Linked DNA regions of Nothobranchius furzeri. Each later gene encodes a partner of the first gene's protein in a complex. Links are inferred from orthologs where the notes say so. Each region holds a gene or a part of one and is shown on either strand. Other genes may lie near its edges. The genes, in order: lrrc7 and camk2a.

Region 1 (7,651 bases):
CAGACAGTGACAGCTTTAATCCTACACTGTGGGAGGAGCAAAGGCAGCAGAGGATGACTGTCGCCTTTGATTTTGAGGACAAGAAAGATGAAGAAGACAACTCTGGGAAAGTCAAGGTCAGACCTTCGTCACTTTAACTCAATGAGTATTACGTAAAGCCAGTAGTATTGTACAATAAGAAGTATGAGTCTGATACTGTAGTCAGTTGTTGAAGCGAAATGTGCGAAGCAGATGGTTAAAAGAGATATGTGTAAGAATTCTACAGTGAAACAATCACAAAATACTCTAACGTCTCAATCATGCAAGAAGGAAGGTTACACTGAAACAGATTTCATTGTCAGCCGGCTGGGGATTGTCAGATTTTCTCCTTTCAAAATGGCCAAAAGGGCGTAGTTTACTGTGTCAGTGAGTTTGGAGAGGTTGCTGAGTCTGCGTCAAGCTAACGCAGCAGCGCCAACATTTGCAATTTAACACCAGCAGGCAAAAAAGCTCAAGAGTTGTTTAAAGATCCAAAGCCAGTAAACAGAAGCGACCCAGAAATTATGTTTTGTTTTTGTTTTACTCTAATATTGGGTGAACGTTGAGCTAACCGCGCTAACGGTGAATTAGAATAGAATAAAATAGACTTTATTGACCCCCACAGTGGCGAAATTCACTTGTTAAAATAAATAGTCAGATCTAAAATATCACAAGCTAATTTTTTAATTGCCAACATGTTGATATCCCAGTGAAATGTATGTGTGAAGTGAATGATTAGTCAATCGTGGCACTTTACTTCCTGTAATGAGTCGTTCAGCAAGCTAACAGCAAGATGGCATATAACTACACCTCCTCTGATGCTGGAGGCATATTACTGTAATAGGTAAGCGCTCCCTAACCCTAACCCACCCGAGAGTGCTAACTCCATATACGACAATCTGTTTATCTACTTATCTACTGACTGTGTATGACTCGTCTTCACTTGTCATCTAGAATCTTCTGGCATTGATCCATAACTGGCAACAACCATCAAACTCACTGAACGACAGAGAGAAAGTAACTTTTTGTTTAGAAAAATGGATTGCAGTAACCACATTTGACCACAGAATGTCAATCTTACTTCGTTCTTACATATTGCACCTTTAAAACAACAAAATAGATAAACTAATCTGGATTTTTCACGTTTTTTCATTGAAGGTTGAAATAAACTTGAAGCGCTACCCGACCCCCTACCCCGAGGACCTCAAGAACATGGTTAAGTCGGTGCAAAGTCTCGTGGGTAAAGGCGGACATCCTGGCCATGCGCACCAGCACCAGCTGAGCACGGGCAGTGCCACCTCAGCAGGAACCAACATGGAGCATACGCACCTCAGCAAAGAGCCATATGAACCACCATGGCCCCTGCCTCCCAAAGAGGTAAAAATAAAAGATACTCAGGCAGTAAACCACTCAAAGAAAAAAGAGACTGAGCACTGGTCAGAATGAAAATAACATTTACAAGGAAGGAGACAAACACCTTTAACCAGACTTAGCTAGGAACTTAGTTAGATTTGAGCCAAAAACGTGACTTAATGTGAAAAAATAAACTGTTTTATCAGGTGACGGACAGAGAGATGCAGGACTTCTCTCAGTCCCAGCTGATGGATCAGGGATCGATGCATAACTCTGGCATCGACATTCCCAAGAGGAAGGACAAAGAGGATTTAACAGAGAGCTCGGAGGTTTGTCATAAACACAAAAACACACTTAAAGAACACAAACATGATTTCTGCATGCAGAGTGGTTTTTATGCAGGATTTTTGTTACCCTAGGATGTCAATCTCACCATATCACTTGTAAGTCACTTTGGACAAAAGCGTCTGCTAAATACATAAACATAAACATCTCTTTCCCCCCTATAGGACTCCATGGGTGGTTCTCCCAACGACATCCGTATCTCGGACATGAGACCCACTCTGGTGGAGCCGCCCATGTACAAACCAAAGGTGGTGCTGCTGGGGAAGGATAAGAAAGGTACGATATTATGTTGTGCCTCACAAAGAGACACACAGAGAGAAAGTGCTAAGAACCTCTGCAGTAATTGTAAGCTTCTGCCTACTAGAAGCAGCGTTTAGTTCATCCTGCTTCGCTTATTCTGCCCTGAAGGCTTCAGTTTCATCTGAGGAAAACAAAGCTCATCTTAATGCCTCATCAAAACTCTGTTTTAGCGTTAAATAATTTAATGCTTTAATCGCATCGTCTGAGATCACATCTTAAACTCTGGATCAAAAAAAAAGCTTTAATCAATCTGCTTTTTCTCCAGGGAACAAGTTGTAAAATAATTTACGTAGCGTGTCTTTTGGTGGGTTTAAATTATTAATGCAAATGCTGCTTTGATACTGTTGATTAATACAAAAGGAAAAATAAAGATGCGACACTCTGTGATCTCTGCAGCCCGTAACTGTTCTACATCACTGATTGAAACACCTTTTTCGTGTGGTTTGTTATTTATTAGCAGTGACTAATAGAAATTTAAACTTTTGATCATCCCTTTTTAATGTTTATTGTAGTTTGTAATCATTGAATTTTTGTTCTTGATTTCTAAAAAGTGTCCTTGTGATTTTTGTCTTGAGAGGCGTTATTAAAAGATGGTTTCTTCTTTTTCTTCTACTTTACTTATTTTATTTATTTATCTTTATTTTGAACACAAAAAAAATTAAATAAAAAGTACAACAACGTAGAATTCAAAGAGACAAATAATTACCTCAAAACAAACAGAAAAAGAAAACGAGCAGTCACAACTAATACTTCATGCAAAAATGTAAACGATGGTTGATTTGCTATCTGTGTCGGCACGGAGAATTTAGCTGGAGGAGAAAGTACACAAAAAAGTCAGATATGGGTCGCATGTGGGGGAAAAAGTGGATTTGATGTGCTGTCTGCAGTATGAACGTAGCCTTCACTTGTCATAATTACACACGTCAGGCTTTAAAGGTTGATTCACCATGTATATCATATTTTTTCTCTTTGTTCCATGGACGTCTTAAACTTGAAAATAATCCAAATTATCATTGTTGCTAAATTATATTTCATGATTTGTTCAGGAAAAACGCCTCAATTTGCCTTTTCAAGCAGAAGTTGCTCGTTTTGTATTTCTTAAAAAGACAAAAAGTAAAAAAGCTTGGAGAGGTATCTTTTTATCTGTATTCTTGTCAGCTCAAGAGCAAGAGGCTGTTAGAGTGAAGATGTGACATTTTCAGTGAATATCAGCATTTGTCCTTCTGCGTCTGTCTCCGTCCAGAGTCCACAGACGAGGACGTAGATAAACTCCACTGTCTGAACCACAGCGGCTCCTCTGCAACCTACTCGGACTACTCTCCCTCACAAGGCTCCTCTGGCTCCTCCAATCCGTCTGCAAACACACACTCACACACACATTCTCACCCCCACACACACACTCCTGCCCTGCCGCCTCCCAGTAAGGACCAGGTCCCCCAGTCACACTGGACCAACAGGTACACACACTTTCTAACCATTTGGGTTTCCTTCCAACCATCTGTGTCATCTTCTTCTTTAGTTCAAATCCGTCACGTATCTCATCCCCCTATCCAGTCGCTATCCGTCTTTCCTTCCCTCCATCTCTGTGTACCCTCCTCATCTCTCTGTTTGCTCCATCAAGATCAGAGAGGCTCATTAGGATGCTGCAGACGTGCATTCAGGATGTTTTTTTCTCACCTCGTTTCTCCTCAGATTCAGACAAGCAATTATTTTTATTGTGAGATTATTTTACTATAATTACTTTATGGTACTTTTGTTCAAGTCGTTATTCTGGTTGTAGTGGACCTGGAGCTAAAAAACACGTGATAATAAAACATGTTTTTAATCCATCTTCTATTAGAAATGTCACAACAAAAATCAGCAAAATATTAATACTAGCTTGCATACCACATTTATTACATTATCACCTAAATCGTTTCAAATAAATTTGATTCAGGTTGTGATTTATGACAGACAAGTATTTTTCAGTATCAACACATGGGAATGCACATACTCTTGGTAAATATGTTTACTTCTCCCTCACTTCCAATGCCTCTGGGGCTCTGTGTGCTCTGAGGAACCCCTGCAGAGGGACATGTCTTTTTGGTATTTTTTGACATTTGTTTTGTTATTTCACATGCCCTGGGGTACGCACATGACAGTCGGTGCACTATATTCCTTTTTTTCAGGGGCTGCATCCTTGCAAAACATTGCATTTGACGCAGAAATGGAGTTTGAATACTTTGGGAAATGTTATTTTTGTTTTCAGACATATATAGGAATGTCCAATATCAGCTTTTTTTACCAATATTTGATATAGACCAACTCTTAATTTCCGACACCCATATATAATATCAGTAGGCCCATAATCCACCAAATGTTACTGGCCCTTACACACTAGCATCGGCTCCACTCTGCCTGGACCAGTATGGGAGTGTTCTCCTTTAGGCGGCCTTGGAATTTCCCACCTGCAACCGGACGTCTTTTCAGCCCTCTTCCTGAGGAGATCTGCCTGGAGCCAAACTGGCCCAACACGCCCACTGCTGACTGATTGGCCAGCTCAAAGCACACCTACCATTAGGGGAAGCCTCCGATTGGCAGAAAGAATCAGCCCGCAGATGTGAGAGTCTCCAAAAGCAAGACTGCTCAGGCAACTTTTGTTTAATAATGGAGATACTGCAGACTTCTCTGCGCTCGTTTGCCCCGCCTACATGTGCTTGTGACATCACAGACCACATACTGCCCATGTACTCAATCACGCCCACGTTGCTAAGGTAGTGTGGAACGAACGCAGCCGGGCTGGGGCAGGCGGAGCGGAGTGGATGCTAGTGTGTAAGTGGCATTAGTTGGTTGGTAGGCATGCAGTTCTCATCTCCCTTTGACGCACATCATAATACTCGTTAATGTAGCACAGCATTTTTAACAATCTTCACTGTATGATTAGCTGTTATTTCTCCCATCTTTGTAGACTTGCCCAGTCATTTCCCAAACCCATTGACTCCAAGCCCCTGCTTTCTCAGAGGGAAACCCCTCCATCAGGGACCCTACAGCAACGTGGAGACCGCCGTCCACTCAGCGAGCCTTTTGACTGGGCTGAGGCCCCTCACTATGATAACACAGGGTTTGACGCGGAAGAGTCTCCTCTGGACCCCCCATCTAATACCAGCCAGGGAAACCCTCCACTGGGCTCCAAACCCCGCAGCCAGTCGGCCCATGGACGCCGCCCTCTCCTCAGGCAAGATCGAATTGTAGGAGTCCCCCTGGAGCTGGACACCCAGACACTCTCCTATCATGGTAACCAACGTTCTAATCCGGACAGTGATCCACAGTCCTCTGGGCCTCATTCCCAGAACCCCTGGCAGAATTGGACTAGGACCCCAAGCCCGCTGGAAGATAGGACTGCTTTCCCTTCAAAGTTGGACCTAACCCCAACGTCAAGCCCCAACCCCGATCGGAAGGACATGGACTCAAGGTAAGGAACAGGAAATCAGACGGTTTTAACTCGGAAAATTGTTTGTATTGCTTCATTAGTCATTTTTTGCATTATTTGAATGAGTAACTATGAAGTTATTAAATTATTACTTAAAAAATTGCAGGGCATTTTATTTTTGTTTGTTACGTGTATAGCGAAGACTAATTTGTTTATTTTCTATTTCATCCAATATCCAAATCGGTTGGATTTAAATCCACTTAGAAAGATACAGTGGGGGGGGGGGCGTGATCCTGCATCCTGCCAACAAGGTTTTGGATCAAGCGACAGTCACTCTGCTCCTGGGAAACACCTGCCCAAATATTTGGAGTCTTGCACAGAAATGTTCAACTGGTCCAACAAATACATACAGTGGAATATAACTGCCTAACTTACTGAGATCATTTCACCGCAATCACACAGCTTCATTAGCATCTGTATTTTACTACTGCAATTCTAATATAGCTTTTTCAATTATTATTAGTTAATCCATTAACCGCCTCATTGACTTGTCTCATGTATTTGCTGCAAGGCTGGATCCAGGTTCAGGGCCTTTGCCCGGAAGCTGGACATATCACAACAATCAGGGAGATCAGAACAGGAAAGATCAGCTCACTGTCGGCGGGGGCAACAAGGTAACTGTTGTGATGAGTAAAAGCTCAGACCGCCTGTCCCCCATGATGAAGGAGACAAGATCCAAGTTCAAGAAGTCTCAGAGCATAGATGAGATCGATATTGGCTCCTACAAAGTCTACAGGTATGATTTGACCTAGTTTTTTAAAGCAAGTTTTTTTTGTGTGGTTGGACCGTAAATGGTTTTCTCTCTTTGCAGTATTCCCATGGAAAGCTATAGTTCATCCATTGAGCAGCAGACTAGCTTGGACCGCTCCGAGCTCCCTGGCTCTATGGAACAGACCAGCATGTCACGATCTCAGTCTGCCCCCATGTTAGATGATGAGATGATCTTTCCAGGACATGGAGCCAACCACAATCCAAAGCCTGCCATTCCCCAAAAGGCCTATCACTTTGACCAAAACTACAACCCACAGGTCAGGCAGTTTCTCTCTTTTATGAATTCTGATTATTATTATTATTACAATTAAATGAAATAATCTTCATTTAAAATTTTTTACCCAATCAGGTGACCATGGATCGTCGAGTCCCTCCCCCGTTTCCCAACACACCAGATTACGTTAACCATTCATCAAAGGTTATGGACTACTTGAATCAACCAGGAAAGACACTGCCCAAAGAGCTAGTAAGCCCGCGGTATCGGGCATACCCGCCACTGGAGATGTTTTCTTTCCCTCAAACACCAATCAGTCAAGACGGCCCACCCAGCCAGCAGCATCAAACAATCTCAACGCAGCGCTCCAGGCCAGGGTTTCTGAGGAGAGCCGATTCTCTGGTGAGCTCTACGGAGCTCGCTTTGTTCCGCAGAGTTCATGAAGCCCAGCAGGAGGCGCTGCTACAGGAAGCTCAATACAAACAGCAGGTGGGGGGGGCATATCAACTAGGCTCATTAATTGACTAATGCATGTGCTAAAAAAGCTACTTGTTGAAAATCAAACCAGTCACTTTTTAAATCTGGAGCTCTCATATATCTTCTTAGTTTCATTGCATGGCCTGATGAAACCTTTGCCCCTTTTTACTCTCTCAGTCAGACCCCCCGCATTATAGTCGTGCTCTTGCCTATTCCTCCCCCATGGACCACTCTGCACTCACCAACATGGCTGACAACCAAAATCAAATGATGCACAATAAAAGGAACGGTCGCTATGACGACGACTATCCCACTTACCAAGAACAGAAGAAGCCAATGATTGGTTACCCAACCAAAAGTCTAACTCAACGTCGCCCCCTGTCAGCTAGGAGCTACAGTACTGAGACCTATGGAGCCTCCCAGGTAAGGCTATCTCTGTTACCTGAGCCATGTGTATTTGAGGATATTTCATTTTCTTTTATTGTACTTTCTTCACCTGATCCCACCGGGTTGTTGGGCATGACTGGGCATTACAAGTTCACTATGCTTTGATTTCACAGGTCTGGGTTATTTCAGCAGCAAACTAAGCACAGTGGTGCTTTGCTGCATCCTAAATTCCAAGACAGTCCCTTATCTATAAATAATCCCCTCCGGTTGTTCTGGGCTTGCCTCGAGTCAGACATTTCTAAAATAGTCACAAAGAC
Region 2 (7,651 bases), on another chromosome or scaffold:
GTCTTTACAGCAATCCTCATACTAAGCATGCATGCAGTGACAGTAGAGAGGAAAACCCCCTTTTAACAGGAAGAAACCTTCAGAGAATCCTGGCTCAGTATAAGCAGCCATCCACCATGACTCGTACACACACACGCGCGCGCGCACACACACACACACACACTCTCTAACCACGGACTCAAATGTTAATGTGATCATGAGCTGATGTGAAGCAGGCAGAGAAAAACTCTGAGGTAGATAAACGTGACCTCTTGCCGACAGCCAGACAACGATAGTATGACGTGGCAGATCCAATCAGTGAGCTTGTGGGCAGGTCTGAGGGATGTAGGGTTTAGGACTTGAGTCCTTTAAGAGCTCAATATATATATATTACCTCTACTTATGACCAATAAGCTGTGATACTCTATCTAAATAGAGAATATCAACCTCCTTAGTCTTTACTGTGTTAATCAGAAGATTCTAGGATTCGTTGTTTATTGGGGGATTGTAAACACTTTGTTTTGATTTTGAAAAGAGTCACGTTTATAAAAGTAAGAATTTATTTTACCAACAAGTAAAACATGACAAGTTAACTAACATTTACTGTGATGGATGGAGCTAGATGTGAATGCAATGTTGTCAGAACTTCCGTGTCTAGGAGAGCTGAGTTCTGGATGTAAAAGAATTTGGGTTTGCGTTAAGCTATGAAGTTGATTATTATCAAAAGCACATCAGACGCTATCTGTGTGTCTACTTCACCCGTTCTCGGAGACCCTCTTGGTGGATCCAAAGGTCAGAGAGGTCAGATGACCTCTGGCACCGAAGGGCTGTAGAATACCGTGGCACCAACCCTTCAGTCCAGAGATGTCTCGGGTCATGACAGATGGATGGAACCGCGCGTCTGGGACTCTTAAGGAGTCTGAACAATATCAGCTTGTTCTGCAGGAACTGTTTTGCTGTATCAGCTTCGCAGGTGCAAAAAGATTTTGATGACATGTCAAAAGCTTTAATGGGTTAAAGAGGGTCTTGCTTCAGATGGCCGGTCTGAAGCTTTCTCTAGAACTGCTGAATCACCAGAGTGGTGAATCACCAGAGTGGTCCAGTTTTAATGTTCTCATGTTATGATTTGTGTAGCCAACCAGAGGTTGGCATGTTGAGGAAAATTACCAAGACAACTCAGAAACACCTTCCTTGATCCAGAGGCTCTGATCTGGGGTAAAGGCTATCTATGTGTCATGAGTTTAACTTAACCTTACTTTGTTCTTGTGTGAGTGCAAGTGGTGATGACCTCGTCATATTAACATGCTGAAACATATTTCAATCACTGTAATCATAACATAACATTCATTTCAAACTTCAGTTATTGAGCACAGATTAATGAAACATTTCATTATATTATAATTATTATAAGTAGCAATAAACAAACATTTATTTAATGATTATCTAGCTTATAAGTTAGAAGTTCATATTTAACTTAGGAAATCATTATTTGATTTAGCAACTGATTCGAGCCGCGAGTGTTAGGCATGAAGAATCCTGTAGGACGATAAGGATGCACCTTGAGGAGAGAACATTATTGTTGACATTTCGTTATCATGTGTTCAGAGCTGCAGAGAGGCTCTGAGCTCCAGCTGGTTGGATGAAGGCAGGCCAATTTAAAGGGAACACATGCAGTCTTGTGTCTCCTTTTGGACCGGATGTTGAATGGTCAAACAGTACCTACAAACTGACCATTGCTGGACGTTACAGGGAAAATAGGCTTCAGCTGGAGGCCTTCTACACGGTCCTAGTGCCTGACCTGTGGGACAGCTGTGGATGGTTTAAACAGACGGAGACAGAAAAAAGGGCGTTTTGGGCACTTGGAACAAATGCCCCCCCCCCCCCCCCCCACACACACACACACACACACACACACACACACACACACACATGCCTGTGTGAATCTGCAGGGCGTGGCAGCTGCTGCTCACGCACATAAATAGCAGAATGCCAAACCTGCTCTGCCAATCATCTGCAGCCATTTGCACATGCTCAGTAGAGTAACAGAGGTTTGTGACCTCAATTCAATTCAAGTTTATTTATAAAGCACCGAATCAGGACCAGAGTGGTCTCCGGGACCTTCACACAGTAAACAACACAGGTCAGGTCAGGTCATTAAGCCAATCAGTAGCAAGTTTCCAATGTGAGGAACCCATTAGGTCGCATCGAGTCACTGACTAGTGTCAGAGTCTTTACAGCTAAGTGATGTTTCCCTGAGCATCTGGCACAGGTGTGGCAAGGACAGCAGGTGTAATGCTGCTACCAGCTAAGATCTTCACCAGAACCAGAACCTGAGTGTGTGTGCTCCAGCTAGCTCCAGCAGCTTGTCTGACTGTACGAAGTCAACAATACAAAGTTTTCCATTTCTGAAAGAGAGATTATTGTTCACACAATGTCTCTGTAGACCTGGAGGACTGGGAGGTCCCGGTGGGACGCTCAGGAATGTGTGCACGCTTTCTGCTCTGCTGCCGTCTCAAGTTCATCCTAAATTTGGCCTCAGCTCTCAGCGTGGCCCACGTGTCGTGTGAAGAGCTCGCTTGGCCCGTCAGACTGGAGACAGGAAACACAGTCACTAGCCCTGAACCTAAAACAGTTCGCCGTTCTTTTTTATTCTCCAAAATTTAAATTGTCACCTGTGAGCTGCTGCTGGTTGTATTGCCCTCTTAGGACAGCAGGTTTGCCAAAAGGAACATTGGCAGCAGCTGTCTGTACGATGCCGTTGCTGCTCTTCTCTGCATTTGTTCCTTTCTTCCTCACTTTGGTTCTTCTGTGTCTCTTTGTTTTCATCCCTTGTTCAGGAGGGAAGAGTGGCAGCAACAAGAAGGCAGACGGAGTGAAGGTAACACTGCAGCTGTCAGCAGGTGGCGGGTTCAAACACCAGACACACCTGTAGAATGCATGAACCCAACAGAACCAGAACCAGAGCAGGGCTGATGCCTGACCGTTTCTGTGCTTGCAGGAATCGTCTGAAAGCACCAACACCACCATCGAGGATGAAGATACCAGAGGTGAACACCAGCCGATCCACTGACCTGCTGCTGCAATGCTCCAGAGAGTCTAATGTGTGTGTGTGTGTGTGTGTGTGTGTGTGTGTGTGTGTGTGTGTGTGTGTGTGTGTGTGTGTGTGTGTGTGTGTGTGTGTGTGTGATTCAGTGAGAAAGCAGGACATCATTAAAGTCACAGAGCAGCTCATCGAGGCCATCAGCAACGGCGACTTTGAAAGCTACACGTATGTAACATTCAACCATCTTTGTTTGTTTGTTTGTTTGTTGACTTTGAAGTGAACCTCAGATCGACTACAGGACAATTGTGCTGTGAGGTGAGATCAGTGCATTCATCACAAAAGAAAAGTCCTTTTTTGTCGCTCAGTGGCGACTTTTAGGTGTAAGAACCAAAAGCTGCTCGGTAAAAAAGTTTAGATGAAAAATATTTTTTAACATCAATTTTGCCAAGTTATGAAAAATCCTGTGTTATAAACTCTAACAGGATGTCTACAGGGAGTGGGAACATGAATGAACGCACACACACACACACACACACACACACACACACACACACACACACACACACACACACACACACACACACCAAATGAAAGGACCAGTGATTGTGAACATTAACAGGAGAGCAGACCTGGTCCTTGAAGGCCACAGTGGGTGCATGTTTTCTATGTGTCCCTGCTCTTAGAGCAGCAAAGCCTTCTGCTAACAAGTTTCTGCTCCCCTGAGAAGAGACAAAGACTGAGACATGTCAGCTACATGTCCCAGGCTTGTCCTCAGCTCTGAGGACAGAGACAGACGGAGGACATCAGGTGATGGGGAGCTGGTCTGGGCGTCTCCCACAGAAAGACTTTAGTGAGCAGGTGTCATTTCCCACATTCTGGTGCTTTTAACGGGTTCTTTTGTTATATTTAAATGATTGTTTTTAAATGAAAAACTTAAAACTGAGCTTTAAAAACGAACTAAACCCAAGGCCGGATTAACCATATGGGCCCCTGGGCAATATATATATATTTTTTTTAATTCATTTATATATATATTTTTGGAACTGTGAACCTAGTTTATGAAATAGAAATGAACTTGTTAATTTTAAAATGTATGAACTGAACTTTCCCACCTTTATAAAACAGTTGGTCTTTAATTAGGTGGAACCATAAAATAAAAGTTTTGTGGTTTCAGAGAATTCTTCCCATATCCCTGGTGGGTTACTTCCTGTCGGCAACCTTCTATCTTGTCTCTCCTCAGTAAGATGTGCGACCCGGCTGTGACAGCCTTCGAACCTGAGGCTTTGGGGAACTTGGTGGAAGGACTGGACTTCCATCGCTTTTACTTTGAAAACTGTGAGTAGAAATTGGTTTTAGAGCTTCCTCTCATTAGAGCGATTTACTCTGGTAACCTGTGTGTGTGTGTGTGTGTGTGTGTGTGTGTGTGTGTGTGTGTGTGTGTGTGTGTGTGTGTGTGTGTGTGTGTGTGTGTGTGTGTGTGTGTGTGTGTGTGTGTGTGTGTGTGTGTGTGTGTGTGTGTGTGTGTGTGTGTGGTGGGAGGGCAGTGTGGTCCAAAAACAGTAAACCAGTCCACACCACCATCCTGAACCCCCACATCCACCTGGTGGGTGACGAGGCCGCCTGCATTGCTTACATCAGAGTGACTCAGTACATCGACTCCAACGGCACTCCTCGGACCGCCCAATCAGAGGAGACCCGGGTGTGGCACCGCCGCGATGGCAAGTGGCAAATTGTCCACTTCCATCGCTCAGGCTCTCCCTCCACCCTCAACAAGTAAGATCAGCACCCACGGGCCAGACCCTCAGACCTCTGTTGATGCGATGAGACATGTTTGTAAAACCCACTGTCCTTGCTGCCATGAGGGCCGCCGCCCCACATCTATATAAACAAGCTATCTAACAAAAGTGAATGAGACCAGAACCACCTCTCATGCTGGAGGAGCAGCGGCTCTGCCCTCATTCACGCCGGCTGTGGGGCGGAGCAGCAGAGTCTTTCCACTTGGTTGCAGCTTTTTCCAGATGCCACTTGTGGATCTTCATGAAGTTAAGGAAATGACATGAGCCAGACAGGAAGTGACATGATGCAGATGCACCAAAGTGTACCTGGTTCATTTCAAAACAAAAGCCGTGTTGCATCATTAATGAAAGGAATATCAGTTCGCAGTGTGTGATAGTACGAGCAGACGAGTGTGGCTTTTGTTTTCGGGCGCCTCTCTACACGTAGCTGTTGTCACATGAACCCGTGCACACACGATTCCCAGTTGGTGTGAAGGGCAGCATGTCCAGAAGCCACAGATATTCTGATCAGCATCAGTTCTACTTAAATTAGGCTTGAGCCCCTCCCAGAAATAAGAGCTTATAGCAACCTGATTGGGGAAGGGTGGGCGTGGCCAACTCCAGCTTGTATTCTTAAAGTGGCTGAGCCCTGAAACTGCTCATGCTGGAAGGTCCTGAAGCTGTCAAGAATCCGTTTTCTGAAATCCTTTTGAGTGGGATGGATTCAACGCAAAAAAACTTCCCTGGTTCTCGAGAGCCGCTATCCACCATGTTTTAGTTGTTTCCTTTCTCCAACATACTTGATTCATCTTTTCAGCAGCTCATTAAGCTCCGCAGAAGCCTGTTAATCAACTGCCATGGATGAATGGTCACAGGCGTAACTTGAATCTGAGAAACATAAAAGTAGATAACAATTCTCTGAAAGGTAACCAGTGAAAGTCAGACATTTCTTTTCAACAGAATTATTAAAACAAACTCATGAAACAGGCCTGGACAAAAATGATGGTACCCCTAGGAATGACCAAAGGAACGTGTTATTCAAGGCATCATCACAGGTGTCTATAATCTTCTAGTAGCACGGAAGGGCCTTGAGTGTCTGTTAGTGCAAGTATCGTCTTTCTTATCTTTGTACTATCTGCCATTCGGAAAGAGGAAGAAACCCATCTGTGGGTAACCCTGTTGTGTAGTAGCTCCGGTTGGGCCAGCTAAGAGTAATCAGGGGCTGTGAATGAGTCACTCATCAGGACTTCATCAGGACCATAGCCAACACAGTAACCAACTCCCCTAAAGCCGGGCGGACACTGTGTGACTTTTTCACTCATAGCACTCACATTCAGCTCAAACTGCACGACTTTCCCGCAGTTCCAGGACTCTAGAAGGTGCTGTATCAAATACAGGCCATTTACCATTCTACTCATGTAGACAGGTTGTCATCCATTGGCATTTCCCATAATGTACTCAGCTGATTTCACTCATGTCTCTCTGGTCGTTCTCAGTTCATACAACTCAACTCTCCAGTTATTAGAGGTGTGCCCCAGGGCCCTGTCCGGGGGCCACTTGTCTTTATTATTTACCTTCTTCCTTTAGGTCCCATATTTAACATTCAGTTCCACTGCTTTGTGAATGACACGCAGCTCTAGTAAGTAAGTAAATGTTATTTCTATAGCACTCATCACAGACATAGAACCACAAAGTGCTTCACATAGATTAATTAATATTCAAGCTCCATCGTACATCAGTGACCTGGTTGTTCCATACGTTCCTAACCTAGCACTTCGCTCTCAGACTGCAGGTTTACTGGTGGTTCCCAGAGAGGTGTATGTCGCACAGAGGTTCCCTGTTAAAGACACAATCACACATAAATAAGTTTCACTGGAGTTTGGTTAGACTCTCAACGCCTGCTTGTTAGCCAAGCCGTCTCTTTTTCTACCTCACAGTCTGTCGCTAAAGCTCCGTTTTTATTGGTCATCAACAGAGGTTAAATTTACCATACAGATCACTGATTGGCTATGCGATCACCACAATGACATCACTTCCAGTTGACACTAAATCCATTATATCAAAACAAAGCACATATTTGTAGTAAACATAACACCAGAGCACATAATACCAGTTCTAACACCCACATGCTCTGAGGTAGTTGCTTGTCAACACTTATTTAACATTTCATGCCAAACATGAAATGGTCAAGCCTTTCCAACTTCAGTGCGGTAGCGAGCTTTTTCATCATGTGTTACCATTTGTTCAGTTGGACAATAGTTCAAACTCACTTTGCCCTTTTTTACAGTTGATCTGACAAAATGATATTTTATATAAACATGTTTGCACCTCTGTCTCTTTACTGGGTGCTTTACGATGGCAATCGCACCTTGGTTATCTTCATAAATCCTGGATAATACATATTCATAACCATCAAGGAGCCGTGTTAAATAAAAACACTCTTGCACTGTCGCTGCAAATGACATGTAATCAGCTTCACAAGTAGATAAAGCAACTGTTGACTGTATTTTGGTGTTCCAAGAGATAAGTGGTCCCTTCCCAGTTAAGATCACTCAATAACCGGTCCTACTGTACGATCATCCCTATCTGATGCTCAGTCTGCATCACAATACACATGTAACCCTAGATTTTCATTTTCACATGTTTGATAACACAGAGCTTTATTAGCGGTACCTTTAAGATACCTCACTGTGTGTTTTACACTAACTCATTGTTGTTCTGTGGGATCTGATGCAGCTCAAGTCTGGTACATGTAGACAAGTATGTTAGACTCCCAACAGCTTCTCTATATTGTCTAACATCTCTCATTCTGTCTGAGTCGTCATTTTCTGCTTTCTGCTCACACAACATGGCT

The links.
Region 2: the proteins of lrrc7 (region 1) and camk2a are in contact, whole or in part, in a crystal structure (PDB 6X5G), measured with the Homo sapiens proteins. The link is inferred for Nothobranchius furzeri from reciprocal best matches to the Homo sapiens genes LRRC7 and CAMK2A. Residues at the interface, in NP_001357714.1 of Homo sapiens: His843, Gly844, Arg845, Arg846, Pro847, Leu848, Ile849, Arg850, Gln851, Asp852, Arg853, Ile854, Val855; in NP_001350919.1 of Homo sapiens: Glu96, Phe98, Glu99, Ile101, Val102, Lys137, Glu139, Leu159, Phe173, Ala174, Gly175, Thr176, Pro177, Gly178, Tyr179, Leu180, Ile205, Gly209, Tyr210, Pro211, Pro212, Phe213, Trp214, Tyr222, Gln224, Pro233, Glu236.

Annotation. Positions count from the first base shown.
Region 1 is NC_091748.1:71,483,262-71,490,912, forward strand, and holds part of lrrc7 (leucine-rich repeat-containing protein 7), read left to right. Parts: coding exon 1-116; intron 117-1,176; coding exon 1,177-1,395; intron 1,396-1,577; coding exon 1,578-1,700; intron 1,701-1,880; coding exon 1,881-1,992; intron 1,993-3,259; coding exon 3,260-3,473; intron 3,474-4,963; coding exon 4,964-5,467; intron 5,468-5,996; coding exon 5,997-6,221; intron 6,222-6,296; coding exon 6,297-6,513; intron 6,514-6,605; coding exon 6,606-6,959; intron 6,960-7,124; coding exon 7,125-7,370; intron 7,371-7,651.
Region 2 is NC_091750.1:27,047,985-27,055,635, forward strand, and holds part of camk2a (calcium/calmodulin-dependent protein kinase type II subunit alpha), read left to right. Parts: intron 1-2,424; exon of another isoform or gene 2,425-2,568; intron 2,569-2,651; exon of another isoform or gene 2,652-2,816; coding exon 2,817-2,857; exon of another isoform or gene 2,858-2,977; coding exon 2,978-3,026; exon of another isoform or gene 3,027-3,072; intron 3,073-3,171; coding exon 3,172-3,247; intron 3,248-4,262; coding exon 4,263-4,357; intron 4,358-4,566; coding exon 4,567-4,795; intron 4,796-7,651. UniProt on the Homo sapiens protein: Calcium/calmodulin-dependent protein kinase that functions autonomously after Ca(2+)/calmodulin-binding and autophosphorylation, and is involved in various processes, such as synaptic plasticity, neurotransmitter release and long-term potentiation.